2 linked regions of the Struthio camelus genome follow. The protein of the gene in region 1 purifies or fractionates together with the protein of each later gene. This does not show direct contact. Links are inferred from orthologs where the notes say so. Each region holds a gene or a part of one and is shown on either strand. Other genes may lie near its edges.

Region 1 (15,158 bases):
CAGCTGGCAATTCCCCCGTATCTCAGCAATGAATGATTAGCCATCACTGAACTAGTTGCGCAGCTAAGTTTTCCCACTGCTTTTATTGTCTAACAAAGTTCTGCTCCTCCCCCAATTCAGGATCACAACTGTCAAGTCAGTGCTTTTTAAAGCACAAGTAAAATTATTCTCTGCTAGCTTTTTAGCAGTTACTTTATGAATGGATGTGTAACACTCCTTTATTATCGAAAAGGACTAAAGGGAAAATAGGTGAGGTTCTGTGCTGATTTATGTAGAAAAAAGTTGCATTCAGTTTAAAGTACCATCTAGAAAAGCAACAAACTAACCTGTGAATATAGTTTTCACGATTGGTCGGCAGGTCATAATTTATAACCAATGAAACTTGCTGCACATCAATGCCACGAGCCTACAAAACAATATAAAATCTTTAATACAAGTCACAGGTCATAAGGTTAAATTATTTACCCCATGTTTTTGTTGACCACATGGTTAGTGATGAACTACAACTGTGTAGCCCATAGTGGAGCGTAGTCCTTACTCTTCCAAGAAGCTCCGACTAGTTCAGGCTATGAGAACCTTCACTGAATTACGAAGCTTTTGGCACAGCACAGAAAAAGCGTGCAGCCTAAGATTAATACTCACCAGCAAGTCAGTAGTGATCAAGACACGGCTTGATCCTGATCTAAATTCTCTCATGATAACATCCCGCTCCTTCTGATCCATATCACCATGCTGTAGAGTTAAAAAAAAAGAAGTTTCTGTATTTCCAGTACTGGACTATCATTTAAAAAGTAAGTCATGTATGAAACCCAGCGTCCCTACCTGCTGTGGGAGCAAGGCAGGTAGGGATAGAAGGAAGCAGTTTTCTTTAAGCAGGGGGAACGATAATACAGCACCGCACAGCCATATCATAACTTTTCCTGCTTTTCACTCATCAAGATTACTTATTAGTATGTTTATGGCACATCAGAAGTTACATGAAAATACCCGTTCTCACCAGAGCCGAGACTGTGAAGTCCCTGGCATGCATTTTCTCTGTAAGCCAGTCTACTTTTCTCCTTGTGTTCAGGAAAATAACAGCCTGCGTAATGGTCAGCGTTTCATATAAATCACATAGAGTGTCCAGCTTCCACTCCTGAACAAAACAAGATCAGAAAACAAGCTGCAGTTGAAAACCCAGGACTTAAAAAAAAATCCTCAACAAGGAGTTAAGAACTCAAAAGCCACATCATCAAGTAAACATGAACCAGTAAGTACTTATCAATATGCCAAAAGCTGAGCAAGACATCAAGCAGAAGTTTCTGCATCAACTGTTGCACCAAATCTTAAGACACAGGACACTGGACATTAAGAAAGAGGTCCACCCTAGTCATTTTGGATCCAGTGCAGTTTTTCTTCTTCTTGCGTGTACTCTACTAGCATTACTACAGAAACCAAAGCACAGCCTTGATTTCTGTAATTTTAGCACAGTGCTTTAACAAGAAGGCGAAAGAATTTCATTGTCTGAGCTCATCTAACCAGAGTAAGTACAAGTGATACAAACCTCTCTCTCCACATTAATGTAGAACTGCTTGATACCCTCCAGAGTCAATTCTTCCTTCTTCACTAGAATACGTATGGGATCTCTCATGAACTTTTTGGTCACTTCCAACACATCCATTGGCATTGTAGCTGACAGCAACACGACCTAAAATGCATACTCGGTGTTAGTCAACTACCACCTAGGATATCAACTTCAGATCTGTCACTCTGCCTGCAATCAGGAATGCTGACATCATTGACAATAAAGTCAGTAAAAACTGTTACCCACATAAAACCACAGATTCTGACCTGCAAGGTCAAGGCAGACAGGAACAGCACAGAACAGTTTTCACGTGGACATGGAGAATTCAGCACTTCTCCTCAGCTACACTAATTAAATCCCCACCCATAAAAACAGTTCAACTAAAAATGTTTTTTACCTGGATGTTTGTGCTTAACTTTTGAAAAATCTCATAAATTTGATCCTTGAATCCACGGCTCAACATTTCATCAGCTTCATCCAGAACAAACATTTTGATCCATTTGGGTGCTATTAAAACAGAAAAATTCATGAAGTTTCAAAAGTGTATTGAATACTTCTATTAGTAACTGTCCTTTCGAAATTAGTCCAGGACAACTTTCTACAATGGTTGCAAATGCATCTCTTTAGTCCTCTTTCAAGGCATGACATTCATAATTTTTAATCACGACTAACTTTGTTACTACAAGTAAAATTCAACCCAATACTTACAAAGGTAGCGTCTGTTTAGCATATCAAACACACGCCCTGGAGTTCCAACCACAATGTGCGGAGCCTCAGCTTGAAGCTTCTGCATTTCATTGCGAACATTTGTGCCACCAATACAAGCATGGCATGTTGCACCCATGTAGTCTCCAAGGGCGAGAATTACCTTTTGAATCTAAAAGAAGAGCTTTCTGTTAGTAGTGGTTCCTGGTACAGTCAAGATTTTAAACCCTGTATCAGTGATGCTTATGGAGTTTGAACATGAACAGAGCAAAGAAAAGAGTATGCAACCCTAATGCAGGTACAGTGAAGATAAAGTTACTACTGATTTTGTCCAATCACTTGTATTTAAGCTGCTAAATTAGAGAATTTAAATGAGGGGAAAGCTTAAGTTACATTTTGGCCCTTACTAGTTGATATAGCTAGAAAAGTGACTACTCTGCATATTCGTTTATGTTAAAAAACACAGCCTCCAGGCATGAACTCAAAAGTTTAACATTTAACACTTGCATGTTAGGCACTTGCAAAAAAAAATCCATATAGAACAAGTGCACTGCTATATGCCAGGCTTCAACCCAAGTCTCATCTCACCCATGTCTTCAAAGTATAAGAACTACGCATTCTGATCAGAGGTTCCTGCTCCACAAAACTATTTCCCCCCCCCCCAAGAGTTCTTGCTCATATGTAATTTAGTACATTTAGTTTTACTTTTAAGGAGAATCTTCACTTAACACACGGACATTGCAGTGTATTCTAGTTGAAAAATAGCAAGCTGTATATAATCCATTTTCTACTCCATTTTGAGTTCTGTCCCCTTTCAAGAATTCTCTTGAAAATTCTCTATTCTCTTAATTTTTAAATCCACTCAAGCTAGGTTTTCAGTTCATCCTAAAAACTGCAGTATCCTATAGCTTTGTTCAAGCACTTCCACCGAGTAAAACAGAACACCACGTCTTGGGAGAGTGAAGTAAACATGCAATATAACATTTGTCAGAAAAACATCACAAGTTACAAAAACAATGAACTGACCACATGCGCACTGCAGTTTTCATGTTGCACAACTGCACGCAAGTTCAAACAGCTTCCAAAAAAGTACATTTTGTTTCCACTCAGAACACTGTGCTTGAATAACATGTCTTGTATTTTGCCATTCTGCTGAAGATGCTCCTTCAGAACTATAAACAGCATAGCAGCTGGTACCTGCAACCCTGCCCCAGAATACCCTCCACATGCATGGCATCTGAACTTTTCAAAAGCAGGCAGAGAACTTGTGGGACAGAGGCCAGTTTACTTCCCCCATCACTCAACACAAAAAGGGTTCTGAATGGATATTAGTTACAGCCCCTTAAGAAGTCTGTTAATTGTCCCACAGTTGTGAAACCTGAAACCTATGCAACACACAAGCAGCTTTTTTTTTTTTTTTAACTACACTATCAATACCTGTTGAGCCAGTTCTCTGGTAGGGGCCAATACTAGTGCTTGGGTCTCCTTGAGATCAATCTCCAACTGCTGCAGGATGGAAATAGCAAATGTGGCTGTCTTGCCAGTACCTGACTGAGCTTGAGCAATCACATCATACCCTAAAAAAAGTAGGATATACATTTACTGCTCCCACACAGGTCATTCATGTTTAGTTTTATTTTATTCCCTTTGAAATAAGTGATCAGTATTAAAGAGTTCTCTCCATTTCAGGTCAGTCCCGAAAGATGGTGTACCATCATGTCACTTGTTCAGTAAGGATTAAAAATCAGTAACATCACACACTAAGAAAGCTAACAGTATAGCCATTTTACAACACTTTCCTAATTATCTGATGTTGCTGTTAACAACAAAGGAGTCGATTATACTTTTCATACCTTTGATACATGGAATAATAGCTCTCTGCTGAATAGCTGAAGGCTTCTCAAAACCATAAGCATAAATGCCCCTGAGAAGGGATTCTTTTAAATTCATATCATCAAAATTGTCAACAATCTCATTCCAATTGCTCTGCAAAAAAGAAAAAAGTCAAATTATTACAACAATCACACTTATCTCCAGCAATGATTAAATTCTTAAGTCAGATCACATGTGCTCACCTCAATGACACCATCGGGGTCCATTCCCTCTGGGCCGCCATGGTCTCTGTCACCAAAAAAGAAGAAACTGTGAACACAGTAGTTAATAACACACGGAAGGGAGCTGGCACTTTGGCTGCCAAAAAGCCACGTTGGCATCACACTGGAACCAGTGAAAGATCTTTCTAGCAGGTGCTTTGATATTTCGCCAGTGCAAAGTCTTCTATCCTCTCCCCACTAGCATGGGTGCCACTAGCCCAATTCCTCAGTCAGCTTCAGTCACTACCAAAGTTCTCAGTGTGACACAGGATCGTCAAAGCCTTCGTTCCGCAGGGAGTCTTCACAGCGGATTTCCGATTTTAGAAAACCGTTCCCCCCCAACAACGTGGCACAACTCCCGATGAACATTAATTCCTATAAAAACCTAGCCGACACGGCAACAACTGCATGTCCCAGTGCACAGCGCCCCCCTCACGGAAGGCATCCGCCCGAGGCGGGGCTCTGCATGCTGGGCTCCGCAGCTCTGGCGAGCGGCAGGGAAACGGTCGCCATTGCGCACTATAAGCCAGCTCAGCCGCAGCGCCAGGCGTCGGGGGGGGGAGGGGGGGGACCCGCGGCTCCGCTGCGGCACGCACCCCCCCCCCGCCCCAGCCGCGTCAGAGCCGGGGAACTCTCGCGAGAGCTCCACCCCTGGGATTGCGCAAACCGGCTACGGTGAGCGAGCGGAGGAAGGCGCCGGGCGAACGCCCAGCGGGCCGCGCCCCTCCCCCCTCCGGAGAAAAATGGTCTCGCCCTCAGCCGGGCCCGCAACCCGGAGCGAACCAACGGCGGAACCGGTGGCGGGGGAAGGATCGGAAAGAGAAAGAGAAAAGAAGAAAAAAAGGTTTCGGGGAAAGGCACCTTTATGAAACTGCCTTTTTAAGCCATAGCGCAACGCGACGAGCGGAGTAAAATAAAAATAGCCCTTTCGGGGGGGGGGGGGAAGGGGGGGAAGAGAAGGGGGGAGAGAGGAAAGCTACCAAGAGAGCCAACGGCGAAGAAACGAATCCCAGGGAAAGGAACGAAAGGCTCGCTGAACCCCGAGGAAAAAAGGAAACGGGACGGAAACATCTAGAACTGGGAGGAGCCGAGACGCCGGGCGCTGTCTAACCGCCCTCAGAGCCCCGTCTCGCGCGCGCGGCCACCCGCCCCTACATCACCTCGCTCCTTTCCCCGCCCCACCGCCTTTTCCCAACTCATCGACCTACCGTACAAAATATAGGGCCCAGGGCCGCAGTGCGCCGCGCCATACCTGCTATAATCCGCGGAGCCGCCTGACATGTTCCGAACACCAGCTCTGTCCTCAACTGAAAAGGCAAAGCCTCCGCGGCGGCCGCTTTATATAGCCACCCGCTGCCGGACTCGTTTCGCTCTTCGCCGCGCATGGATATGCGTCTCACACCACAGGAAAAAAACCATGAAAAACCCCCGTTTGAGGCCACTCCGCAAGAGCTTCCCCTCGACACACTTTACGAGATCCTCCACAGAGGTTTCTGAGCCTCTCGGGGCCAAGAGGTGAGCCGGAGCCTGGCACTACTTTTCCTCGCGGAAGGATATTGCAGCATTGACGGAGTGACTGCGTCTCCCTCCTTCCTCCTTCTCCGCCCCCCCCCTCCCGCTCCTGCGCACGGGGTTTCCCACCCGGCCCCTGCTGCAGTGCCGGGGGGCGGGGTAGAGGGGGAGCGGGGCGGGGTGGGCGCTGCGTTTCCCCCGCCATGTCAGCGGTCTTGGAGCCCGGGGCTGGGCGCGGGGCACCTGGCTTCCTCGGGGCGGTGGAGCTGGGCCGCGGGTCGCCCTCTCCGCCCCCCCCTTCCCCGGCGGAGCCAAACGCAGGCCGCAGCCCTCCCCCTCCCCCCCCCCCCGCAGTCCGGTGAGGGGAGCGGCGGCGGCGGCGGCGGCGGGAGGCCGCGAGGTGACGGGAAGGAAGATGGTGGCGCCGGCGGCGGGAGGGCGGGAGCCCCCCCCCTCTCCCCCCGGCCGCGGCTCCCTGCCGCCGCGGCCCGGCCCACGCGAGCGCTGCGGTCCTGCGTGGAGACCGCCCCCGGCGTGAGCAGACAGAGCCGAGCCGGCTCGCCTGTGGGCAGGGGAGGCGCAGGCAGCGATGCTTCATCTTCCTGGCTCCGAGGCGGCAGCTGACTGAATCATGCAGATGGTTCTGGGGTGTTAAAAGTGGAACATTTTTAAACGGGCTGAAGGCCTATTTGGGGAGCGTTTGTGGGAGTGAGGCAGAGTGCTCGCTAGGCTGCTGCTCAAAACACGGCGCGGTGATGTGCTGCGGCTCGTGGTGTAGCGTGAAAAATGCTGTCAAGGCCCGTGTAAAGGTTAGTGCAACCTGAAGTCAAGCAGAACCGTGCCGTTAGGGGAGGCGTCGTCGTGCGGACTGAATCAATGACACGGCTAGTGGCCGTGCTCCTTGCTTTCAGGCCGTTTTAGAAAAAAAAAAATACTGATCCTTTTAATACACTGATCAGGTTTTTACCGTTCATCGGTATTTCTTAAGTAGGCAAATAATATAAGCTGTAAGCAGTGTTTCCCTTCGTTTTGATGGGTTTGTGTGTGTCACTTCTGAAGTTGTTTCCATAGTGATTATATATGAACAAATGGAGTCAATGCTTGAAAAACCCAGCCTTTTAGGAATTATCTAGAATATCCATAGAGAGAATCTTTGAGAGGTTAAATATATATTAGCTCTTTTCTATGGTAGCCTCGACTGGGGCAGTATTATCTGTAGAGATAGCACAGGATTTGTCAACATCCCAACTGAATGACAAAAACATAGCTCTTCTGTTGATCCACCATAATGCTTTCAAGTTTCTGCCCACGTTTGGTGGAAAATATCGAGGATGCTTCTTGCTTCTATTTGTAATTTAGGGAGCCCCACAGTAATAACTGGGGGTCTTTTTAAATGGATGATAGCAGATTACGTGGAGCCATAAACCGCAAGTTATCAAAGAAACGGGATGGACTGAAGAAAGAACGTTGTAGGGCACAAGTTAGGGCAGGCATGGTTAGATTTCCTATTAAAAATGACATTGGGTCCAGATGGAAGAAGTAATGCTACTCAATTCTTATTTTTGAATTAAGAATCATGAATGCTTATTAAGAAAGCAGAGAATGTATATACATATTATTTAAGTATTGCAATTAGACCTTCGTATATCTGCACACCTAAGTGAAAAAGACGTGTGAGAAGCTCAGGAAGGTACGCCATCGTTTTCCACATACTTTAAATGTATTTTTGAAACAATATTGCCATCTTAGAATTAGGTGTCTAGTTTTTTTTTTTTTTTTTTGTCCTCTGTACTACAGAAATTAAAAAAGGAAAGAGTTTGCTTTCATTACCTTTAGATAAGCAAAGGGTTGGAGACACTGAATCAGTTCTGTCTTTATGTGATGCACTATAGCAAATATCCGGGATTGTCATCCTGGTAATGACCATAACTATACCGGAGATAAAACTGGGAACATTTTATACTCTTAAACCTTGTCCGTGAACACAGTGTTTGAGAAATATCTCTTTGATGATAGTAGGGCAAACACACGTTTTATTTTTGATCTCATACCTAGTTTGTGTATTCGTACAGACTGGAGGTAGCCATGGTCTGCCTGGGGTTATGTCTATTATGAACATGAAGCATCACACTGAAAAGTGTCAAAAGGTAACATCACAGACAGAGTCTTGGATTAATACTGGAATTTATTATAGCCTCCTCGCTTTAAATCTTAGTAAACTTTCTAGAGCAGTTTCGACTGAAAACTTGCTGCCTACGGACCAGGTTCATGTTATTGTTAGGCAGAAGAGATACCAAAAAGTTACTAAATCAGTGTTTTGTCTATCCTGCCAGTATTAGGATCCATGGTCACAATTATATGCGCACGCTGTATTCTTCAGTGGATGTCTCTACAGAAGACAAATCTTGGTGAATCATGAGACCTTCAGTGAGAGTGAACGTAATTACACACTTATTAACACAGGGTAGCAGGTGGACTGGCTGGTTTAGCAGCTGGGTTTCCAGTCATTATTCACGCAGACTGAAGTAAAGAATGAAGTATCTAAAGAAAACGGTAGGAGATGACACCTCCCAAAACTGGGCTTCAGATGAGCGGTCCCTGCTCATCAATATTCTGGCAAAGGCAATGTTACTGTTTACATGAGAAAATTTCTGAAATCTCATTTCAAAAAACTTATACCATGAGTTAAATATACAGTGAAACCATTGTGTACTCCCCTGGAAACCGGAAAGGTCCTGAGTTCCTCTCCTAGATTTGCAAGTCCTGTGTTAGTGCACATAGCACCTCTTATTTGACTGCCACAACTAGCAGGGCAGAGAAATAATTGTAGATGGTCAGAGGTTATTCATAGCAGATCGTGTTGAGGATCAACATGTCCTGTTAGGGTGTTGTTAGCAAGAGGTAATGTCTTTCAATTCATCATTGCCAACGGAACCTACCTAAGCAAAGGCATGCTTCCTCGGACGTAGGAGTGAAAAGCAAAGGCATGCTTCCTCGGACGTAGGAGTGAATAGCAAAGGATTCTGGAAAATCTCCAGGAGAGAAAGACTAAATTCTAAGAGACTCTTGCTTGTTATTTAAATACAGTCATAGGGTTTCATTATCTACTAACTTAAGCTCTTTTGTCATTCTACTGAAATCATAATCTAAACAAACTAAATAATAGTAATTCGTAAGATGCAGTGACTTTAATGCACCGACAGGCTTCCTTTATATCTTTAGTACCTCAATGTAATGTGAAATCCACATTATGACATTTTCAGTATATTAGGCTGCTAGGTTTGTTTTCTTGTTCTTTTGCAAAGTTATTTTACAGCTCTGTTATGAGCTGAAAGATATTTCTGCTCTTTGTAATCAAACTTGTTTGTGTTGTAAAATCTCAGTTATGTTCTCATCAAGTGAGTGAACCTCCAGACAAGGAATTTTCTCTCCTGATAGAAGTTTCGTCTCGCTGAATAGTTGTGCTTTAGGCCAATACGGAACGTTTTCAAAAATGCTTAAATAATTTAGGAGCCGAGCACTATGGAAAACCAGTGGGATTTAGGCCACTTAATTTAATTGTCCCACGTGCCCAATCTAGTCAAGCTATTCAGACTCCTGTGAAGGACGTGGGTTGGATAGGGCCTTTTGCCTACCGGCTGACTCTGAAACGTGTGCATGGTGGTTTGTGGCTTGTGCTCCTTTATTCCCTAATAGCTTCTGAGCGCAAGTCTCCAAGGAGTGTCCTTGCTTCAGTTTTGCATAATTTTGTTGATTAGTGGAACCTGGGAATCTCAGCTATATCCCAGAGGGTCAAAAATCTAGCCAACTAAGAAAACTTAAATATTTCTTATATTTGTAGGAGATAGCTATCATTCGATCCAGTGCCCTTTGAACTCGTGAGAAGTTTCCTGTTGCCTTCAATCAGCATTAGGTTGGGCTACTAATAAAAAAAAGTAATATTAATTTAGAAAATAAATATTTCCTTTCTAAAAGGAAGTTTGTAAATTGCTGTTAATTCTTCAAACAAATCCTAAATAAGAAAACTATAAAGAGGGACCATTTATGGTGGTCTTGTGATTTTAGTAACTATTCAGGTAATGGGAAGAATGTTGGCACCGTAAAATCTCAACCTAAGTACTTGCAAGAGAAAAACATTTTTTTTCCTATGATTTTCTGTAGTTAGTCATTCAATCCTCTGCGTGCTATAAAACTCAGTGATCATAGTTTAAAGTCTTGAATGTTCTCCTTGACTGAGAGGTTATATTCTTTCTTACTAAGGTTTGTAGCTGGGCCCAGGGCACAGAGTCAGCTTAGCTCTCTTCTCTGTTCCAGACTTCCAATGTGACCATAATCATGTAATTTTAGCACTAAAGCTGCACAGATGATATTGATTGGACTCTTGCCATTGATTTTTATTGGAATAAAATCAAAACTTTGTCTGCACTTCAGTTTTCCCCTCTTTAAAGTGGGGGTAATGGTATTTGCCTCAGAGGTTACGTGTGGGCAGATGTTTGAAAAACATTGAGATCTGTAACGGGAGGAGGCTTAGAAAGTCTTTAATAGAAGTTGTATGCATACTTTCAGGGCAGTTTGTTCTTTCTATTGCAAGAGTAAAGAAAGCTAGAGAGATTAAGCAGGTGGCAGCTGCTGATAACATCCTGAAAGAGTACTGTAGTTGCATTTATTTTTCAAGTGAATTGGAAGACTTCTACACTACCATGAAATGCTGCATGTCACATATTTCTGTTAGATGCAGTGTGCAAAAAACAGATTTTTTTTCCAATTCTGAGAAAACGTAATTTGAGCATATGCATTCTTTTGGAAAAAATAAAGTCATTGACATGTTTTTCCTTCTGGTGTTGGTTAACCATCAATGTAATTTATTTATTCTCACGGTTGTTCAATTTGGAATCCACTGATGATACTTGAGATCTTTAATTGCTGCGCTGATTTCAGTCACTTCATTTCTGGAACAGCCGCTACAGGCTGACCTCTTCTCTGTGTTTATTTTTGAGAACCTTTCCTCGTTGATAAGAGGTGAATGTTGTTTATGTTTTTATGAGGGGGAACTAATGCACGTGAACCAAACCAAGAGGAAAACACCAAAGAGGCAAAATAATTATTTGCTTTGATACAGGTATGTTCATAGGATCAGGGTTATGGTAAAATGAAAATCTCTAGTCTTTATTGTACATATGCCTACCCTCATAGGTATTCATACACTGTATGTTCTGGCCTATGAGACCAAGTCATATGACTCTGTCCTTTCCCATCCAAATTGTTTTTCTTAGATATCAAACCAGTCACAGTGTGCTTTGCAGAATTCATGTGCAGTGGTATGAGTTATGAGGGCCCGTCTCAGATTAGTGACAATAAAATGGCTACGTTTTGTCAACTGATATAGGAGTGCACAGAAAACTTAGGTATGAGTGTCTTGTCAGGCTGTTATTGTCAGAATATTTAAAACAAGTACTTCTCTATACAGCAAGATTAAGGTATCACAGAAATTATTTCATTGCTCTTGAACAGAAGACCTTTCTCTCCATGTCCAGCCCTCTGTGTGAGCAAATTTAACTGATGTCTCTGTCTGCTTCTTTACCACAATATTTTAACCTCCAGAGCAAAGTATTTTGCGGTTTATAGAGCTTGTTTCAACATGTAAATGTAAAGAATGAAGATAAATACTTTATCATTAATGAAGTGAGCTATTAGGTCAGAGGTATTACGTCAGGGTAAACCTTAATTTCTACAAAATGGAAGTTTCTGTTGAGCTTAAGTTTTAGAAGAAAATGGAATCGAGGCATTTCTGCAGGCTCTGAGTTTTGGTTCTGTCATGGAACTGGCTCAGGATGAGACTGTAGATGAGTGGTTTGAGTTTTGCGCCCTAGTGTCACCTGCCTGTCAAAATGGCAACTATGATCTCCTGTTCTAGCAGGATCTCTTAGACTGTAAGCTGTTCGAGGCTGGGACCGATGGCCGTGCACGCTGTGCTTCTGGCTACAGCAGTCAGCGCTGCGTGGGGAGCTGAGGCTCTACCTGGGCAAATGTTAACAAGTTAATCAATGTAAACACCAGGACACTGATTTCTTTTCAACCCTTTTGAGATTTTTTTTTTTTTTGAATGAAAAATAATATTTAAGGCTTTTCTCTTTTACAGTGTTAAAGACACGTTAGTGTCATGATTGGGTCTTGAAATGCCTACTCATGAAGTTAAAGCTGTCAAGTGGGCTACCAAAGCGTTACGTTGTAACTTTCATGCTCTGCTCTTTGTAGTTAGTTTTTAGTGTTAGGGGGCCTCTGTAGGCCAGTCCTTCTTCCCAATCCTTTGTGCTTTAAGCCATCCCAGAATGCCATTACATGTTGTTTTGCATTATGAGCGTCTAAGGCCAGATGAGACAAAAATGAATATCTAAGGTGCAAGATGGTAGGGAATCCATTCTTTTCCTTTCAGGTTGCACCCAGATTTTCCCAGAGTCCACTGATGCCAAGGACAAGACATCCACTAGTGCGAGCACCAATAAGATGCAGGTGATCACGCTATTTTAGCCGGAAGTAAATGTGGCATTGCTTGTGCTGATCCAGGGCATGCACTTTAACACACATCATGTCATAGCGATTGGCAGTTAACAAGAAACCTTTGTTCATTACACAGCAGGAGCCAGCAGTGAGAATTCACATTGAGTTACAGAAATATATTGATTAATTTATTTCCTACATGTCTTGAAAGTAACTATTTTATAATATATTGGCATTTTTGCAATCAAAAAATAGGTGTACCTCTATTCAAAGTAGTTTTCTCTGGTTCTAGCTAGTTTTACTTACGAGTTTCTGATAATGTGTGTTTCTGAGTGTTACACAGCTATTTGCTGTTGTATTCTGCATTCATTCATAGCCCATTTTTCTGATTAATTTAAAAGTAGAAAAGTCTGAAAAATCCTCACTTCTAAGCAAGCTGATACTACAGATATTCAGTAGCGACCCAGTTACTGGTTTTTTTCTTTGCTCGCTTTTTTTGTCCTTCGTAGCTTGTATTATCATTTCCAAATATACTGTGATACATACTTTTCCATGGATGGCAAGACTAAGATTTCTCCTTCTATTTCAGCAGGAATTAAATAAACCACCGATTTCATGTATGCATTAATATTGAATAAAAGACTCAGTTAAACGATGACAAAATATTTACAGCTTTCAGGACCTCATTTGGATGTGATATCTTAAGCTCAGAGTTTTCTCTTTTCATATTGCTAGCCATCAAAGCTCAGTATCACCAAGGTGATTTTACATAGCTTATCTTCATTACACGAGAGGAATTATCTGATTTGCTTTACTACTGTTCATTTGCATTGCTAACATTCAGCTCTTCTGGGAATACAACTTTGTATCCCCAGGAATACATTTTCTTCTGAAATCACATCAGACTTGTCCTTGCTAATTTGCTGTGCTAACAAACCGTGTATCTTCATGCAGAATGGAAGGAAAAAAAGTGAGAGCCGTTAAGGACTGCTGGCTCAGAGCTGCTGTTGCCATAGAGCTGCTGCCGAGGAAAAAACTGCAGCATGGATTTCTTCTGCTGTTGAAGGTAAGATGAGGGCACAGCAAAGACTGTAGGAGGGGGAGGGGAGCAGAGAGAAGGGGAGGGAGAAGAGGGAAAAAGTGTGCGTCCTTGCTGTCTAAAAAAGGAAATTCGGTTTCAGTGTTCATGAACAGAACTGCTGGTGCAGAAGAACAAAGCTATCAGTTGTTTAGGGTAGTAAGAGTGATGAGCAAGCAAGCGCACTCCCATGCTTTCAGAGGGAAATACTGCAAAGGAAGGAAGGAGTAGAAGAGTGACTTTATCATTTATAAAATAGTCACTGCTGCTTCAAGATAGCTGCTTTTTGACGCTACTTTGGCATTAATATTGTTCTACTGGGTAAAGACAGCTGTGAAAAACTCAGTATGTAGATAAGCAAGAAGAAAAAGTTATGCTACAAATTTTCAGTATAATCTTGAGCAGATGAATTCCGTCTGTATTAGAATGTATCAGTTATGTTCAGCTGTAGTGCTGTGAAACTTCTAAATGCGGTAACTGTATTTACAGCAAGATTATTATGATAAACTGATCTTTGAATGTGCTTTAAAGTAGATGCGTTTTGTGTGAAAATGGATATACTCAAGAATACTCGTGCTTGTTCTTACAAATACAGAACTGACATCATACTTGCTTTAGGGGGAATTTTGTGAACGGGGTGAGCTTTGTAGAGCAAGACTGTCCGTGATTTTTACAGAATTATCTGCAAAGTACTCATCCCAAAAGCTGCTGCTGACATTTCTACATCTGTTTGGCTTGCCCGTTACACATTGCAGCTTTTTGCTGTCCTTCCCTTGCCAGTTCTTTCTGTATTTCAGCTCTTTCTGAGATAAACTGAACCCATGTGCCCTGCGCAGCAAAGCCAGCACGCCTGTGATGTTTGCATAATGAGGCCTTGAAGAGAATGAAATTTTTACAGGGTACACTAAATGCAGTGATAATGATGATTATCTTAGTTATGTAACTAGTATGTTAATATTACTTGACCATCTGATCACTATATTATTGAGAGTGCTTGGGTAAAACAGCCTTCCTTACAATTTCTTATATTGCACTGTATTATGTGTTTGACCATTTCTCCTGGAGCCTTTGTTTGAGGGTTGGGTCAGAGTGAATTTTTCCTATAGTAGCCTGTTATCTTGTTTCAGAATCTGCAATTCAGGTTGCAAATAAATAAAAGCGTATTAGGTATTCTTAATTTTGTTAGCATTAGAGTCTCTCCTTGAGAAACTGCCATTCTCTGAGATTGTAACACTGAGATCATATATGTCATCTCTCAGTTGTGTCACTGGGCCAGGTGTATTGTTCATGAATACATCAATAGTCGTTTCAAAGATTTGTCGTGAGGAATTGGATATGTAAGTGTAATTTTTAGTAGTCACGTTCATCTTGTGAATGCTCACTGCAGCTTATCTGTAGGCTCTGGAACCATTATTTTTACCTAGTATAGCTCCCTATCCGATTCAGTCTTTGAAGACGTCTTGTTTAAGATTTGGCTGGGTCGCCTGAGCCAGCGCATAAAGATCAGACCCTAATCCATGGGTGAGGCAACCACTGATAACACTTAACAGTTAGGATTTGGTTTCCCGAGGTGTTTAGTCATCTTCTGCTCCAAACAATTGTCCATGTTTTGCTGGAGTGAATAATTGTGTTAGGACTGAGCTCCACGAAGCATTAGGCTCTGAATTTCAGAAAACTTCTCTCAACTTGTGGATTGAACCTGTTTGGG
Region 2 (15,163 bases), on another chromosome or scaffold:
GTGGTTTTATTCCACAAAATCGGTATTTGGGTGACAGGGAAACTTCAGAACTGTGCCTCGTTTCAGAGACTAGCAGGGGCGGAATAGCTGCATAAAATCTTCTAATTAGAAGCAGCAGCTGAGCTGTTGGGACTTGTGAGCTGCCACTAAAATGCTGATTACTTTGACGTGCGAGAATGTCTGGAAGAGCCTCTTGATCAGAAATTGCAAAGGTTTCTCCTGTTGGAATCAGCTTATTGGGATATATTTGTGTCCAGAGTAGCTAATCCATAAGTTGCTGAGTTTCCAGCACTGGGGTAGAAAACCTGCTGTCTTCCTGCCAGAACGTGCAGGTGTTTGGGTCACCTGGGAGCACAGAAGGTGATTTGGTAGATGCTGCCAAACTACAAGAATAATTTTGGGAGAAAAAACACAGCCTCTGGTCACCAAAAAGCCTATTACTTACCTGGTTTTGATGATTTTTACATTTCTGCGTTGATATTCATAACTTCCAGATTGTTAACGGGTGTTTTGTTCAAGCCTGCCAATTAGCATGGGCAGCTCTTCTGAAGTGGTGAGCGTAAATGAGAAAGAGACGGCCTTTCTATAACTGAGAAGGAGAAATACTTAAAGCTTCAATCAGTACCTTGATGTTACCGAGGTCTTTTCGCTTCCAGTGCTCTAACGTGAGTGAGCAGATGATATCAAAACGGGTCATGCTGCTTCCGGTAGACCAGAGTGGGATGCACATGGGAGTGGTGGACAGTATCTTCTACCCAAAGAAAATGTTTTACAGCCCACGCTGTTATCTTGGCTGCCTCACCTTGCAGCTCAGCGGCACAGCTGGAAACAAAACTGATGCCTTCTAGTTCAGTGCCGCACCACCAAAGCTATGTGGCGTGAGCTGCATCTGAAATACCTAGGACATCTTCATTTCACGCCAAGTGATGTCTCAATAAAGTTTTTTGCGACCTAAAGTTAGAGCATTAAGTATCGTGTAATGCAGCAGTATTTCAGCTCATTTCCGTAGTGTGTCTACCTGTTCCTCCTTTCCCAGCCTCTCTGAACTTCCATCATTTGAATGGATGTCCCAAGGCTTTTATGGTTTGTAAAACTCTTGATGGCTGTCAGGCTGTGAATTCAGTTACTGAAGGCTCCCCCTATTACTATTTTGTTATAAGATAATTGTTTCTTATACAGCATCCGCTTGCATTCTCATTTGGGAGTGAAACACCTTGGGTGGGGGGGACAACATTTTTTGTGGTGGTTTAAAATTGTAGTAATTTTTAGGGTCACTGAGTTCTGTTTAAGTCAGGCTCAGCAGCTGCCTGTAAAGTTAATACAGCCCTCCCTTGTATGTCATATGCCACGGATGCACTCAGGGAAGCTGTTAGCAGGAGCGTCAAGAGCATTTTATGGTGCAACTTGCATCTCTGCTGGAGCAAGCAGTCTCGCTCCCTTCCCTGCTGCTTGGTCCGGTCTGCCTGCTGCCTCCTCCGTTACGCTGGCCTCGACGTTAGCGTGGCTGGGTGGCGAGCTAGGGTTGGAAGAAAAGGTTCGTTTTAATCCAAATCAGATCCGTGGTCTGGTTCAGCGAGCAGCTGTGAGCGTGCTTGTACTGGCACGGGGCAAACGGCAACGAGAGGACAGGACCGCCTCCTCTGGCAGCGCCACTGCCAGATGACAGCTTACTGCTATATCTTGTCTTGTGTCCTGCTGCCTGCAGGCATGTGCTATTTAGATTACATGTCTGTGACAGTAATTTTGCTTTGATACCACCTGAGTCCTTGCAGATCCTATCTCTGACTTCCTTTACCCCAGGGAGCCTTGAGAGCAAAGTCTTGTCTGTCCTCCCTTTGGGTTAGGAACTAGCTAGAAATAGCTCGGAGAGCGTCCAGCCACCCGAGTCATCTATAGAGGTGTGCGTTCATGCCGTAGGATGCTTACAGATATATTCTCGTTGTTATGACTACATGTATTTATCAGTTTGTACATATTTTAAGAGAGGAAATTATATCTTGGTGTATGGCCTCTGAAGATGACAAAGGAACAAAAATCAAGGTTTGCCTTCGATATACGACTGTAAAGGGCCGCACCACCTAAACCTGTTGTTCCCAAGTGGGCAGAAAGCGAAGGAAGGCTTAGTGAGTGATTCGAGCAGCACAGTCGCACACGCCTGGCAGATAAGATCGGTAATACTTTCATTTACTCTTAAGAGATACTGCCCAATATTGCATGGCATGAGCCCAGCTTCCCTGGTTGGCGCTGTTGGGTGTAATTTTTGGGGCCATGCTGCAGGCTGACGAGGTGCACGCTGTGCCAGCATAATGCAGCTCCGCTTCAGACTTGTTTGGTGTATTTTGGAGCACAGCCTTCATCTGGCATCTCTCCTTGGGCTATTGGCCCTTGATGATTCAATACGTGATCCTCCTTGTAGCTTATGGAGAAGCCTCCAGGGCTCAACCAGTGCTTGTCACCGAGCCCCCTGTTCTGTCTCCTTTCTACCTTAAATTTTTTGTCTCCTTCAAAGGTACCTTAATTTGGGATTGTGGCTGGAGACCTTCGAAGCCGCTCTGAGCAATGGGAGCGGTGACCGAGCAGGACAGGCCTCTGGAAGACTAGTGGGTCCCTTTCAAGTTCCTAAGCATAGTTTTTTCTTTTTTTTTGCAGCGTAACAGGAGTTTTAATTAATACAGATACGTGCAATCATAAATAACGCTCTTAAAATTAAATGGAATTTTAAGGCTACATTGGCATATTCCTCTTGATGCCATTGCCCCTCTAGAGAGGTAATACCATGAATTTCCAGCTGAAGGGAGTTGATGAAATCTATTGACTTTTCCATCGCTGCTGAGAGTCCATATATTGTAAGAATAAAATATGAATAAAAACATTGAAGTGCTTGATGTTCTGCAGAGAAAAGTGCACTGTTAAACAAATACAGACTTATTTTTAAGCAAGTCGGCTAGTGAAAAGTTTTCTGTGCGCAAGCATACAGATGTCCATGCCAGAGATGTGTTTCTGGCACTTCACTTTGCGTTATCTGCTACCTCAGCTGGCACAGACATGAGGCAGGGAGGGGTTGTGATATTTTTTCCCTTTATATTTTGCAGCTCAGGCCAACCCGGGGTTTAATCTCTCTCAGTTTGGGCTTTGAAAACCCATTTCCCGGAGATGCTGTGGTTAAAAACACACACAGGACAAAGCTCACAACCGCACGGCTGTTCAGTCGTTCTGCTGCCGCTCGTGATGCGCGGCCCTGCGTAGAGCAACCTGAACCAGCCCTACTTCTCTGTCCTAAAAACCCCCACCAAAAACGCACTCTGAGAAAAATTCCAGCAGGATTAGCAGGGTTTATATGCAATTCCCCCCCCCCCCCCCAAAAAAAAAAAAAAACCCACCCATTCTGGCCAGGTCTAAGCTGAAAATAGGAGCTTTGCTTTGGCACTTCAGCTGCAGTCAAAAAAGACAGAGACTAAGTAACCAAATCAGGTTGCCCTTAGAAACGCGTTTGTACTGGGCAAAATAATTGATTGGATTTTTGTCGCATTTGCACTGATCGAGTATGTTGGCTGACAGCTCCCCTGATAACTCACTCCTGACGGCTCACGGGCTGAAGGAAATGCGTCGGGGTGAGGCGAGGTCTGCGGATGATTTACGTGCTAGTGAGCTGTCTCCATTTCTTTTTAATTTAGAGATGCAAAACTGAGCCTGAAAGTAATGAGCTCCAGATAATTAGGTGCTTGTCTGCAGGTGTAGCTATTGCAGCTGCCTACAGCTGGTGCTCTTAATATTGCTGATTTTTATTTTAAAATATTACGGAATGAATGGGAGGCTGGAGATGCAGATAATTTGCTGCAAAGAGTTGGGTTGTTCTGTCCCTCACCTCCCCAGTTTTACTTTAGCGGTCCTGGCTGGCTTGCCTGCGAGGTGTATCGCACATGGGCTGAAGACTGCAAGGAACGGATGATGATAAGTAGCGGAGTATTGTGTTATACGGGGGTGGCGGCGGGAATGCCTCGAAGACTGATGAAAGTCTGATCTCGTTTATCATCATTAATGATTAGCCAGATGGGAAGCGGTATCTCTTGCCTTAGTATTAAAGGGGTTGCGAAAGCCTTGCTAATACAAAAATGCAGTGCAGTATGTTACCCGCAAACGTTAGGAAGGTGAGTGCAGAGCAAAAGGTGGTGCAAAATGGATGCATGCCAGAAGAAAAAAATCAATAGTAGGTATTTCATGAGGTGGGTAGTTTAAACAAGTGCTTTAGGTGGGGGATTTGGAGATGGGTTTGGGCATAAATAGTATATGCGTTTTTAACGGTATGGTGGCTTGCTGCTACAGTGCAGCTTTAGCACGTTTAGTCAGGAAGAAGCGTTGTGTCGTGTGTCAGGCGGTGTGTGCCGTCCTTAAGCGCACGAGTACAATCATACGCGTAAACGTGAATGCGTGCAACTGCGGACGGAGGGGAACGTTCTTCAGGAGGCATCAAAAACCCGTCAGGATTAACTCGTGATGGAAAAGGCGAAGACATCCGAATAGCTTGAGGAGCAGTGGCAGGGCTGGGAGAAGGAAAGGGAAACGGTGCTTTTCGGTAAGCGTTTGAAGGGCGCGTTTTGCTTTCAAGCTGTAGTTTTCAGAGGAGCCTTGGAAAGGCCGGCTTCCGCCTGAGGTGCGCTGGGATGTGTATGCCCCTTTTCTTTTGAAAACTCTTTAACTGGGGCTTTGTTCCCATTCAGTTCAGCGTAAGCATAGATGGGTGACCTGATGTGGCAGGCGGGAGGCAAAGGAAGCGTTTGGGAATCATATAAAAGCTAGTTCCAAGATTAATGATACGTTATTGGGTAAAAAGCTGAATTTCAAAGATGAATCTCAAGAAAAGTTTTAGGATGGGGAGCTTCATTTAAAGTGGGGATAAGTAATGAAATTGCTTGCCGTTGGGAGACGATGCTTTAAGGAAGAGTACCTCAAAGGTAGAGGGATGGACAAGCCTTGTTTCCGGTGAGCGTCAGCTAGTGCAAACGGGGAGCAAGGAAAGGGAGTCCGGCAGCCGGTAACGTCAAACGAGGCAACTGCGGTGTCTAATGGAGCCAGTGAGCTCGTGTGAAACGCGAGCGGTATTTATGTAAGTACGTGTCTGTTACAAAAACAAAAGGTGCACTTTTAAAAAGTATTTCTTGCCAGTATAAAATAATGAACAATTTGGAGCATTCTGTATTACCGTTTAATGCGCAGAGTAAGACTAGGGATTAAAAAAGTGGCTCGCACAACACTTTGTTGATCCGCTTCATGTTCTTACCTTTGGCAAATGGCAACTCGGTCGCGAACGGTGACTCCACGTGTTGCGGTGAGAATCTTTCTGTTAGGCCAGAAAATGTTGAAACGAGCTTAATAATGGCGTTTGCCTGAAGCTCAGTTTGTGTATAAGTAATTCTAGGAGCCAGTGACTCCTGAGGTGTGGTTTGCATCTATCCACAAGAATAGGGGTAAAACGATGTACTCGTCTGTTACGTAGCTTGGTGATTTCAGGCAGTATCCCCACGATACATCCCGTGGGTGCCACTTGAAAAACATTTGTTACTGTGTGTTTACGTTTTTTGAAAGCATTTGACTAACTAGAAATAGGTTCTTGATGTCAGAGTTAAGTATTAGCATACAGATGACGTGGTTTTCTAAGGAATTCACCACCTATGGCTCCTGCTAACTTTGGCAGTGTTTCTTCTGGGTGTTCATTCAAGGAAAAGCTGCCTTCATTTTTATTTCTTTTTTCCCCCTCTGATAAATAAATAAATAAACGAACAAATGCAAACCACTGAAACAACAGCCCTCCGTTACATGCTGACCTATGATACGGCCAGCGCTCTGAATCGTAGTTTATTTTGACATCCGGTCGCTGCGGAAGAGTTAAGTTGCAGCCGTCGAAGAAAACTAAAATAAAACTACCGTTTTACTGCAGAAGGCCGACTCGTTCTTTTGAGGTTCGACTGACGTGCCGTACAGACGGTAAGCGCCTAGTTAATCCTCACGAGGATGAGCAGAGCCCCACCGATGTATTTCACCTCTCCAGAGCATGGTCGCTTGAATTTGTCTCCATCCTTACGTGTTATTTGGCCGACGCTGGGAGCGTGTGGCAGGGTTTGGCACGGCCTGAAGCAACGCTCTGGCTTCGTTCTGCTTCGGTGGTCGAGCCGTGTGGCTCCAAAATGTTTTAAATGAGAGTGGCTCCTGAAAAGAGTGAGACTGTGTTGTTGATTTTTTTTTTTTTTGGCTTAAATTTTGTTGTAAAAGGTGTTACGTGGCCGGGCAGAGTGCATCGGTGGCCCGTGTTGGGACTGGGATGTGCCGTTGGAGCAGGCAGTGGAAAGGCTCGAAGGAGGCTTGAGCAGCAGCCTTGGCTGTTGGTTCCTCCCGACCCTTTAGACGTTGCCCAAAGTAGCTGAATCACGGTCGGGTTTGATTTCCCTGAGTTAATGGTCTCGCGTCTCTCTTAGTAAGAACTGCTTAGCTCTGTAAGTCTGTGCGGTGCTGGATTTCTGTAAGAGCTGGTAGAAGAAGCGAGGGAGGCAGGGGTCCCAGGGGAAAGACAGCGTGCCCTTGCGAAACTAAGGGCTCGGTCCTGCACATACACACGAGGCAACTGAGTTAAGGTTGCATGAGCCGCTTTAATCCTGGCGTTTCCTAAGTCTGGGGCTGTTTGCTTTGTGACTCGAATTGTCCTCGGATGAAGCTTGCGGGCTCGTAGTGACTATTTCGTCACGGGGAGAGCCGATGGTGCTGTTTTGATCTGGTCGTTTCCCAATGCCCAGCATGTGACATGTCACTTGGTAGGTTGGTTGGTTGGTTGGTTGGTTTGTTTTCAAGGCGGCAGTTTGTCTTACCCGGTTTCCTTGCCTCGGATCCTGAGAAGCAGCCCGTCAGGCGGGGAATTTATTCCGCGGGGAGAATTGATTCGTGAAGCACTCGCTAAAGAAATGGGCTTGCGGCGGCGGCGCCTGGTAGCGCGTTGGGGGACAGCGAGCCGTCCCTCTGGACCGGGAGGCCGCCAGAAGCAAACGGCAGAGTGCGTTGCTTGAGGGAGTTTGTGCCGTGATTTAATTCCCCTCCCGACAGGCAGCGCTGAAGTTTTCCATGCCCTTCCTGTAATGCGGCGTGCTCGCCAAGCGCAATGTGCTCTAGGTGAGTTTGTTTTATTCTTTGTTTCTTAAGGCCGCGGCTTGGTTTGATTTTACCCCAAGTAAGGCTAGCTCCCTCTCGGCGCCGCTAAAGCGAGGCAGCGAACGCAGGAAAGCGGAGCGGTCGCCGTTCTGCCCCGCGATACGAGTGACGTGCAAAGGCTTTCTCCGAAAACTTGCCTCTGCCTTTCTCTCCCCTGCCACCCGGCTGCGCCCGCCAGTCTTAGCTTAACGGCGCTGCCTCCTTTGCGACCGCTGTCGGAGAGCGCGTCCCCTGCGACCGAAGCGGGGCGGGAGCGCTGAGCGCGGCCAGCCGAGCGCGGGGGCTGCAGGTAGCGCCCGGGCCGCCCGTGCGCTACCGCTTTAAGACCGCCGGCGCGAGAGCTCGGCTCCGCCGGCGAGATTCAGGCGCTCAGAAGGAGCAGCTGCATGGCACGACCGCGGCCGTAGGCTCCGCTTTCCGGGGGGAGAAATCCCTCATTCGGGACGCCGTTTGCGGAGGCTGGAGCTTGCTGCCAGGTAGGATCGAGCTGCAAAGGACGGGCTGAGGCCGAGGAAGTTTCTGCGAGCCGCCGCGTACGGCGCAGCCTTCCTTGTAACCCTTTAAGTTAGCCGTGCAGTCTCCAAACCTGCTTCAAGGCGCTTCTGCTGTTAGCATCGCCATCTCCTGTGTTGCAGCTGAATTTAAGACGGAGAGGAGGCTGCAGGAGAGATGCACGCTCTTTTAACTGCTCTGGCTGCTGCCCAAATGCCTCCCTGCGTAGAGGGGTTTGCACGGTTCCTTGCACCAGAAAGCTGGCGGGAGCGATGAGCGTTGCAATTTGCAGGTTCCTGCCCCTCTGTAATCTTGCATGATGGTTTTATCTTGCATTTTTCAGACATTTAATACATAATTTCTGTACAAGCGGGAACATGCACAGGGATTATATAACCCTAGGGAGAGCTGGTGAAAGACTTGCTACGTTTCCGGGCAAGGATAAAAATCGTTAGTTGTGGAATGCTTTTGTATACAGGTTTGCATATGTGCCCTTTGGTCCTCACGGGTATTTTTATTCGCATGGAAAGATGCTTGCTTGTTACAGTAAGCTGCAAGTGAAGAAAGGGGCCATCAATGCATGCGAAGGATAAAATGGTTGCTGCTGAGCTTAGGTGAGAAGCACCGTTCTGGGGAAAATGAATCCATTTTGGACGAAAATACAACAGCGTTGTTTCTGCTTGGTCTTGGAAACAGTAGCACAACAGGGAAACCTGTACAAATTCTTGCCGTGAGAGCCTGTTTTAGATCTTGGTACGTGCTTTTCGGTTCTCCGTGGCCTAAATCTAAAAGTGCACAAAATCTTGCAGTGTTTCAGTTCTGTAGCATTGTTAGAGCAAAAAGACAGGCGTTGCACAAGAGGGAAATTCCTGCAAGAAATTCCTCCTGACTTTTATTTAAGTCCTCTGTATTTCTCAGTGCCTCTGAATACTCCAGCTGCCAGGCAGTTCTGGTTTGGATTTTTTTTTTGATTGCCTTAAAGAGAAGTCTCATCTTCTCACAGTCCTCAGAGTGTGGTTATGACTGTCTAATTAAAATATAGCATCCTTCTTTCATGGCAGCTTTTGGGTTTTAGAAAAATTTGATTTTGCTTGCAAATGTTACTCTCTCTGCCTTCCTTCTCCCGCTGGGTCTTTAATAGTTCCCCACATTCCCCAGCTTGCAGTCACTGTTGCAGCCAGATGGGGACTAGGTGGAACTCCCCTTGCATCTGAGCTTGCTTTTATTAATCTGCCAGCAGTATCTGAGTTGTGTGGGTTTTTTATATATCTGTTTCATGAGTTAATGAGCCCTAAGCAGCAACGAACAGAATCCAGAGTTAGTATTAACTGCTGGCTGTCGTCCTTCTGACTCTGCTTCTGAGTTTTGGCTGGACACTGATGGAGGATGGAAAGCTGTAGAGAGTCATTAAGCCTAAGAAGCAGAGACTGTAGTTTCCACTTTACTAACCCGTCAGCTGCAGAGCTGATTGAAGAGGCTCCCTTTCGCATCCACTTGTTCCTGCTCTTCTGCTTCATTGCCCACCCCATCTTTTCTCCCTGCATTGCTGGAAGGAGCTGGGAAAATGGCTTGAGGTTTGGGTTTAGTTTTGTTTTTCAACCCCCCTCTCCCAGGTTTTTGCGTTGTTTGTTTTTTTTTTTTTTTTTGGCATGGATCATTTCCGAGATCTGCACAAGTGCAGCTGAAGAGGATGGCAGTGGATGAGAAGGTTTTTGGGAGGAGGAGAAGGTGGGAAAGTACAGGATCCTCCTGAATTGGATCTAGCCGTACTGGAACAGCGATGTGAAAGAGGTGCCTGAATTATTCAGCATATCCCTGTTTCCTTTGCACTGTAGCTAAACTCTGCCATGGAGCCAGCCTGGTTTTACGTTTTAACTCTTAAACTTCCCTGTGTCTGATGCGGGGAAGCAGGGGGGCAGCGTTTGCACAGTTTGCCTCATGTGTCGGGTTGTGGACCTCTTCATCGCCCCTTTCATGAGAGCAGTGCCTCCAGAAGATGATCTGCTCTGAGGGGGCACTGTCTTCTAGATGTGGCTGAGTGACCTCAAAACGGATGTCCTTGTCAAACGTAAGGGGGAGTGAGGGTGGTCACTCCTACCCACGGGGAAGGGCCAAGCTGCCGGAGGCAGTAATCTTGTCCACTGGCCCAGCTCTTTGCAGAGCGCGTGTTTGTAGACACCAGAAGTTAGAAGTTGGAGATCACCTCTTTCTCCAGCCATCCTATCTCATTAAGAGTTACTGGAATTTAAAGCATTTTTGTCCCTGTCGGTGTCACGTCCAGGTCAAGTCTTCTAGCAAAAAGGACTTGCAGGGTTTCTTTCTAATCTGATGAGAGTTATCGCTTTCCAGAAGCGATCTTAAACGGCAACCCCAAACTCTGAAAATTCATCTAAACTGCTCGTTCCTCGAGGCAGCCCTCTTCCTGGGTGGAAAAAGAGGGGTTGCTCTGCTCAAGGAAGATTATTTTCTCCTGGTTTGTATAAGTTCTAAAATAAGAAAATAAATCCCAACCTCTTTGAGGATGAAGCAGTTTTTCCAAACTTGGGAATGATACCTTTTGAAGTACGGCTTGCTTCGATTGGGTGTCAGAGCTGCCTCAAGATGAGAAATCTCTGATGTGACAAAAGGGTGGCAGTTGGAAACAGCGCCTCTGCCCTCTCTTTCTTCATCACCAGGTGGTTTTTGGTTACGCTGGGTCCGAGGACAGGGCGTCAGTGAGGCGGCATGCAGAAAATGTGAGGGTTTTGCTCTGGATCCCCCCGCTCCCTGTGCAAGCGCAGAGTATCTCTAGCCAGAATCCGCTTTTAATATTTTCACGTTGTCTTTTTCCTGCTTTTCTGGACTTCGTCGCCGTCCTCCACGAAGTAGGCGACGGGGTTGCTCAGGCTTGCTCGGGCAGTGAGCCGCGGAGCCGTCCTGAGTTGCAGACCAGGGCTCTGATCTTAGATCTTCCTTCAGCTCTCCTGCTTGTCGTGTCTTGCAGCACGTTTCTAACCCCTAGTCTTGCCTTTCTGTTGGTGCTTCCCCGAAAAAAGAAATGGATGTAAAATCCTCAGGGCGAAGGTCAAGAGCGAAGCCTTGGCTCCGCTGAAGGCTGCGGCACGTCTCCCCGTCGTTTCACTGGAGCCAGGATTTTACTTGTCGTTTTGCTGTTAAATGTCCGTAAGCATTATGTACTTCTGTGATGCTGTGTAAGTACTAACTTCTAATATTGTTCGTCCTCCACTCGAGAAGCTTGCAATTTTAAAATTTAAGCAATCCGTATTCAGTGGGACTCATTTGATCCCCTGGTAGAGGAACAAGCTCCCGTGGAAATCGACGGGAGTCGCTCACGTCCCCGGGGGCAGATAACAGCTCCGACGCGTCCGGGTTCGGCGCTGCGGCGATGGCAGGTAGGAAACGGCGCTCTCCTGCGCGGGGAGCTCGGCTCCGGCCACGGAAAGCGGTAGCACGTGGCCTTTTGGAAGAAAGGACGGCTCCGCGTTTCCCGTGGCCGGCCGCAGGAGCTGGTCGGTTCACAGGAAGTTTTTGTTCCCGTGTGCGGGTAACGGTCCTCGCGAAGAGGCCGGCTGGGAAACGGGAGCATTGCTGTTCTCCCCTTCCCGTGCCCCAGACCCGGTACAGTGACCGCAGAGGGCAAGGGTTGCCCTTCCTTCTTGAACAGGGCACCAGGAGCTGCTGAGGTGGTTGTGATTTGGCTTTGTGAAAACAGCGTTGGTCTTGTTTTATGCCTTGGGCCGAATACGCCCGCTAAAACCTGGTTATTGGTAGCCAGTGATCCCATTTAGGCACGAGCTGGCAGGTGCGCGCATTGGAGACAAACCTGAGTCTAAGAGGGAGCCGTTCGGCCGCAGAGTGCTGCAAACCGTTGGCAGACGCAGAGCGGCTTGCACCTGGACAGTCGTCGTTTCAACCTTAAAATTAAGCGTTTTGCACGTTTTAAGGAAGAGATGGGGTTCTGATGCGTGGGTCGCTGTCAAGCGCTTTACGGGGTTGGCTGTTGCTGCTGCTGTGCTGCTGGGCCCAGTCCTGCAAAGGTTTGTGCAACAGCATCTCTTTGGAGTTCACAGGTGGAGTGGAAAGAGAGGGCTCTTGTAAGATTGAACCTCGTTCAGACCGAAAATTTAACTTACCCATGGGGTTGGGTGTGAGGCTTGACGTATAAAACGTGAAATCTGAGTACGGCTTTAACTGGAAAGTTTTTTGGCAAGTTGAGCCCAGCTCCTGTGGCAGTGGGAGTCCGGCGTTGAGTAGACATGTGCTGGACCCAGGGCCACAAAACGTTAGCCGAGTGGGGTATTTTTTAATTCTTGCATCCCCTTATTTGCTTTATTCCACAAGTGAAATGGCTTCTGGATGATTTGAGTTTGTTTTGTAAAGTCTTTTCTGTCCCGAATTCCCACAATATCTTTCCAATTTAGGAAGATGACTGCAATTTCCCTTTAAATAACCCTTCCAGCAGATCCAAACGTCAAAATCTGTTTGACAGCCCCTTTCAGAAGTGCTTTTGGTGGGTGGATGAGGAAAGGAGTTGCTGGTGGAAGAGAGGCAAACAAGGAAACAATTATAACGCCGTTCGTGCGTGGTTAGCAAAACAGGCTGGGCCTTTGTCAGAAATGCCCTGCTCATCAGCAGGGCTTGTCTCACTCAATGGGACGGGTTTGTGGGGTTTGGGTTTTCCCTTACTCTTAAAAACCAGAGGTAGGGGATTCTCGTGACAAGAGGAAGGTTTCGTGGATGGTGCCAGGAGCTGTTTGCTTTTGGTTTCTCTTGCCGTGTTTGCCCGTGGCATCGGTCGCTGAAGCCCTGCTTGCTCCTTTTGGGAAAGCGCGCAGGACCGTAGCTGCCTGGTTGCATGCGCGGAGATGTTCGTGTATCTTCTCGAGCCAGGAGGGTGGCTGGCTGCAGTGACCACCGCCGCCGCGGGTTCGGTTTGCGCCCTGCTCCCGTCCCCCTGGAGCACGGCCCCTCCTTCGATGTTGTTTTCCTTAACTCGCTGTGTTGCAGACTCCCCCGAGGTCCCGTGCAGCAGCCCCTCGAGGAGCGGATCTTCACGCCGACGGTCTCCGCTGTGTACAGCACTGTGAGTATCTGCGCCGGGTCCTGCCGGCTTTGGTTTGCTTTGGAAAGGAGCGAGTGAGGAAATCATCGTCTGTTTAAAGAGGCGGGGGGGGGGGGAAGGGGAAGAACTAACTTGATTTGCCTCCTAAAATAAACAGTTGTCAGTGATTCTGGAGGAATGCCATTTTTGTTGCGTGTGAACAAATGAGAGGATACAACAAAACGCTCTTGTAATGCTGCCTCGGGACCGTTGGGTCCATTCCTGTTTTGGTAAGGGTCTGCGGTTTTCATTAGCAGGCGTTATAGAGTGGGTTTTCCTAACTCAGTTCCACTGAATCGAAAAAGTTGCTGGCCGTATCGTCAGGCGGTTTGCTCCATCCCTCTTCTGCCTCCTGCTTCTTGAAGACTGGCTTGATGCGATATATTAGTTGCCACACAACTCTAACAGTATCTTATCGGAAAAATAACCAGAGATTTGTTTTTCTTGTTAAACACCCCGTTTAGAGTCATGTAGCGAGAGAAATGTTTTGGTGGCAGACTGAGCGAGCGTTCAGGATAGGTGCTTTTGGCTCCCGGTCCTGCGTGTTTGTTTATAAAGCTTTGTTATCGAGGAAATTTAGCCTAGAAATGCAGCAGTGTTTATTTGTGAGCATATGATACCATTTTGTTTTTATTCATAGCTTTTCTCTTTTTTTCAAATAGTAATAGCTGGAAGCACAGTATGATTTATAAGCTTTGCTAAATCAGCACAGCCCTGGGAAAGTAATATTTTGCTTTTCTGGTGGGATAGTGCAAATAGTTTTAATGTCAAAAAAAGGCTTTTAAGCGGCGCTTTTAATTATTTGGAAAACAGGAAGAAAGGCTGTAGATGCGAGAAATTCACTGTATTTTATGCAGTACCATAAGCTGCTTATAGAAAAACATAAGCTGCTGTACAAGGTTTTCTCCTTTCCCTTGTGTGCATGAGTAATGTGCGAAGGGGTTATCAGCTACATCTCCGGAAGGGGCAAAAAAGTCTTCCAGATTTGCACCTTGTTCGTTTTGGGCTCTGGAGAAGAGCTTTCCAATTGCCTCTCCCATGTGCCAGGCTCCTGTCAAGTGGTGGCAGGCAAAGTTTTGTAGAACTGAGTACGAGAGCGATGCCCGGGGCCTGTCGGCCCAAGAAACGCAGGGCCTCGGGCAGTAGCGGACGGACTCGGACTCCCTGGGATGGTCTCGGGGCCGGCCAGCAGCGGATTTCCCTGCAGGTAAGTTGGAAAGGCTGGGGAGCAACGCTGGAAAGAGTCGAAGGTTTTGAGAGTTGTGGCTCGTACAGCGGCAGATGACACACCTGCGCTGCTGGCTGGCTTTTGATTTTTGCTAGCAGTTTTTTTTTGCTCTAATGGACACTCTGTCCTCCGTATCATATACACACACACATATATATATACACACACACCCCCATACACAAATGTAAAACAAAAGCCGAAGAACAGGAATTTACAAAGAGTCCCAAGAAGTCATTCAGTTTCTGTCGTTCTATATATGCCCCATGCAGCAGTTAAAAGCCACTTTAAGAATATTAGAATCCCTTTTGGGGGGAAAAAAAGATTTCTTTTTCATCTCTTTCCCCTGGAAAGACATAATTCAGATGCCTCTGGGAAAATATGACTGTAAAAATTTAAATTAATGTAAAATATAACAGTAGCTGTGAAGAATGACCTAAAATAGCTTTTCAGTGTGGAAAAATATCACTCTTTGATATGTTACAAGAATAGAAGCCAGGACTGGGAGTGTCCCTGTTCTAGGCTTTAAGAAAACACAAGTTTGAAAGGAAACTTGACATTTTAAGGAAAGAGGAGAGATTTCTCAGCTAGGCTCCTTTTAAGCTTTTGTCTGAAACCCTTGGCAAATTGCAGTTTTAGAGTAAGTCCTAAAAAAGATAGTTTAGGATGGAGGCGGCCCATGATCAGAGGTACATGACAAACTCATTCATCACAGGTCTCTGCAGTAAGCGCACAAGTAACAGTGCCGTGTATTGAAGGCCGGGGCTTGCAACTAATATGTCTTCTTTGTATTTATGTTTGTTTAATATATAGTTTATCTGGCTATTCAGAAAATCACGAACTACGAAGGTGCGAGAGCATCATCCCTTACACCCAGGAACTGCTTTTTCACTTCTGTATTTTATTTACTCAGTCATCTTATGTGGGTTTCCACGTGGAGGGTGCTTCACAGCTTTTCAAGATGTGTATTGTGGTAGAGGGCTGCTGGCTTAGGAAGAGGTCTGTGGTCTCGAACCGCGCAGTGATTCTGGGCTGACGTGGTGTTTTTCTCGTAGGTTATAGTATGTCATGCATGGGGGTGGAAGGAAGAGTCATTTAAGATGCTGGCAACCCCCAGCCAAAACGGCTATTTTTAGTTAAAAAATAAAAAT

What was found.
Region 2: the proteins of EIF4A2 (region 1) and EIF4G3 purify together in Homo sapiens (affinity purification with mass spectrometry; 3 studies listed by BioGRID and IntAct, with this or other methods). This does not show direct contact. The link is inferred for Struthio camelus from reciprocal best matches to the Homo sapiens genes EIF4A2 and EIF4G3.

The regions. Positions count from the first base shown.
Region 1 is NC_090950.1:23,108,358-23,123,515, reverse strand, and holds the start of EIF4A2 (eukaryotic initiation factor 4A-II), read right to left. Parts: upstream 5,976-15,158; 5' UTR 5,644-5,975; coding exon 5,615-5,643; intron 4,391-5,614; coding exon 4,345-4,390; intron 4,256-4,344; coding exon 4,123-4,255; intron 3,995-4,122; exon of another isoform or gene 3,924-3,994; intron 3,847-3,923; coding exon 3,707-3,846; intron 2,442-3,706; coding exon 2,273-2,441; intron 2,072-2,272; coding exon 1,962-2,071; intron 1,688-1,961; coding exon 1,544-1,687; intron 1,488-1,543; exon of another isoform or gene 1,309-1,487; intron 1,136-1,308; coding exon 998-1,135; intron 927-997; exon of another isoform or gene 799-926; intron 733-798; coding exon 643-732; intron 407-642; coding exon 327-406; intron 1-326. UniProt on the Homo sapiens protein: ATP-dependent RNA helicase which is a subunit of the eIF4F complex involved in cap recognition and is required for mRNA binding to ribosome.
Region 2 is NC_090962.1:8,960,700-8,975,862, forward strand, and holds the start of EIF4G3 (eukaryotic translation initiation factor 4 gamma 3), read left to right. Parts: upstream 1-7,129; 5' UTR 7,130-7,144; coding exon 7,145-7,155; intron 7,156-7,468; exon of another isoform or gene 7,469-7,670; intron 7,671-7,730; exon of another isoform or gene 7,731-7,746; intron 7,747-11,178; exon of another isoform or gene 11,179-12,551; coding exon of another isoform or gene 12,552-12,559; intron 12,560-12,693; coding exon 12,694-12,769; intron 12,770-15,163. UniProt on the Homo sapiens protein: Component of the protein complex eIF4F, which is involved in the recognition of the mRNA cap, ATP-dependent unwinding of 5'-terminal secondary structure and recruitment of mRNA to the ribosome. Functional homolog of EIF4G1.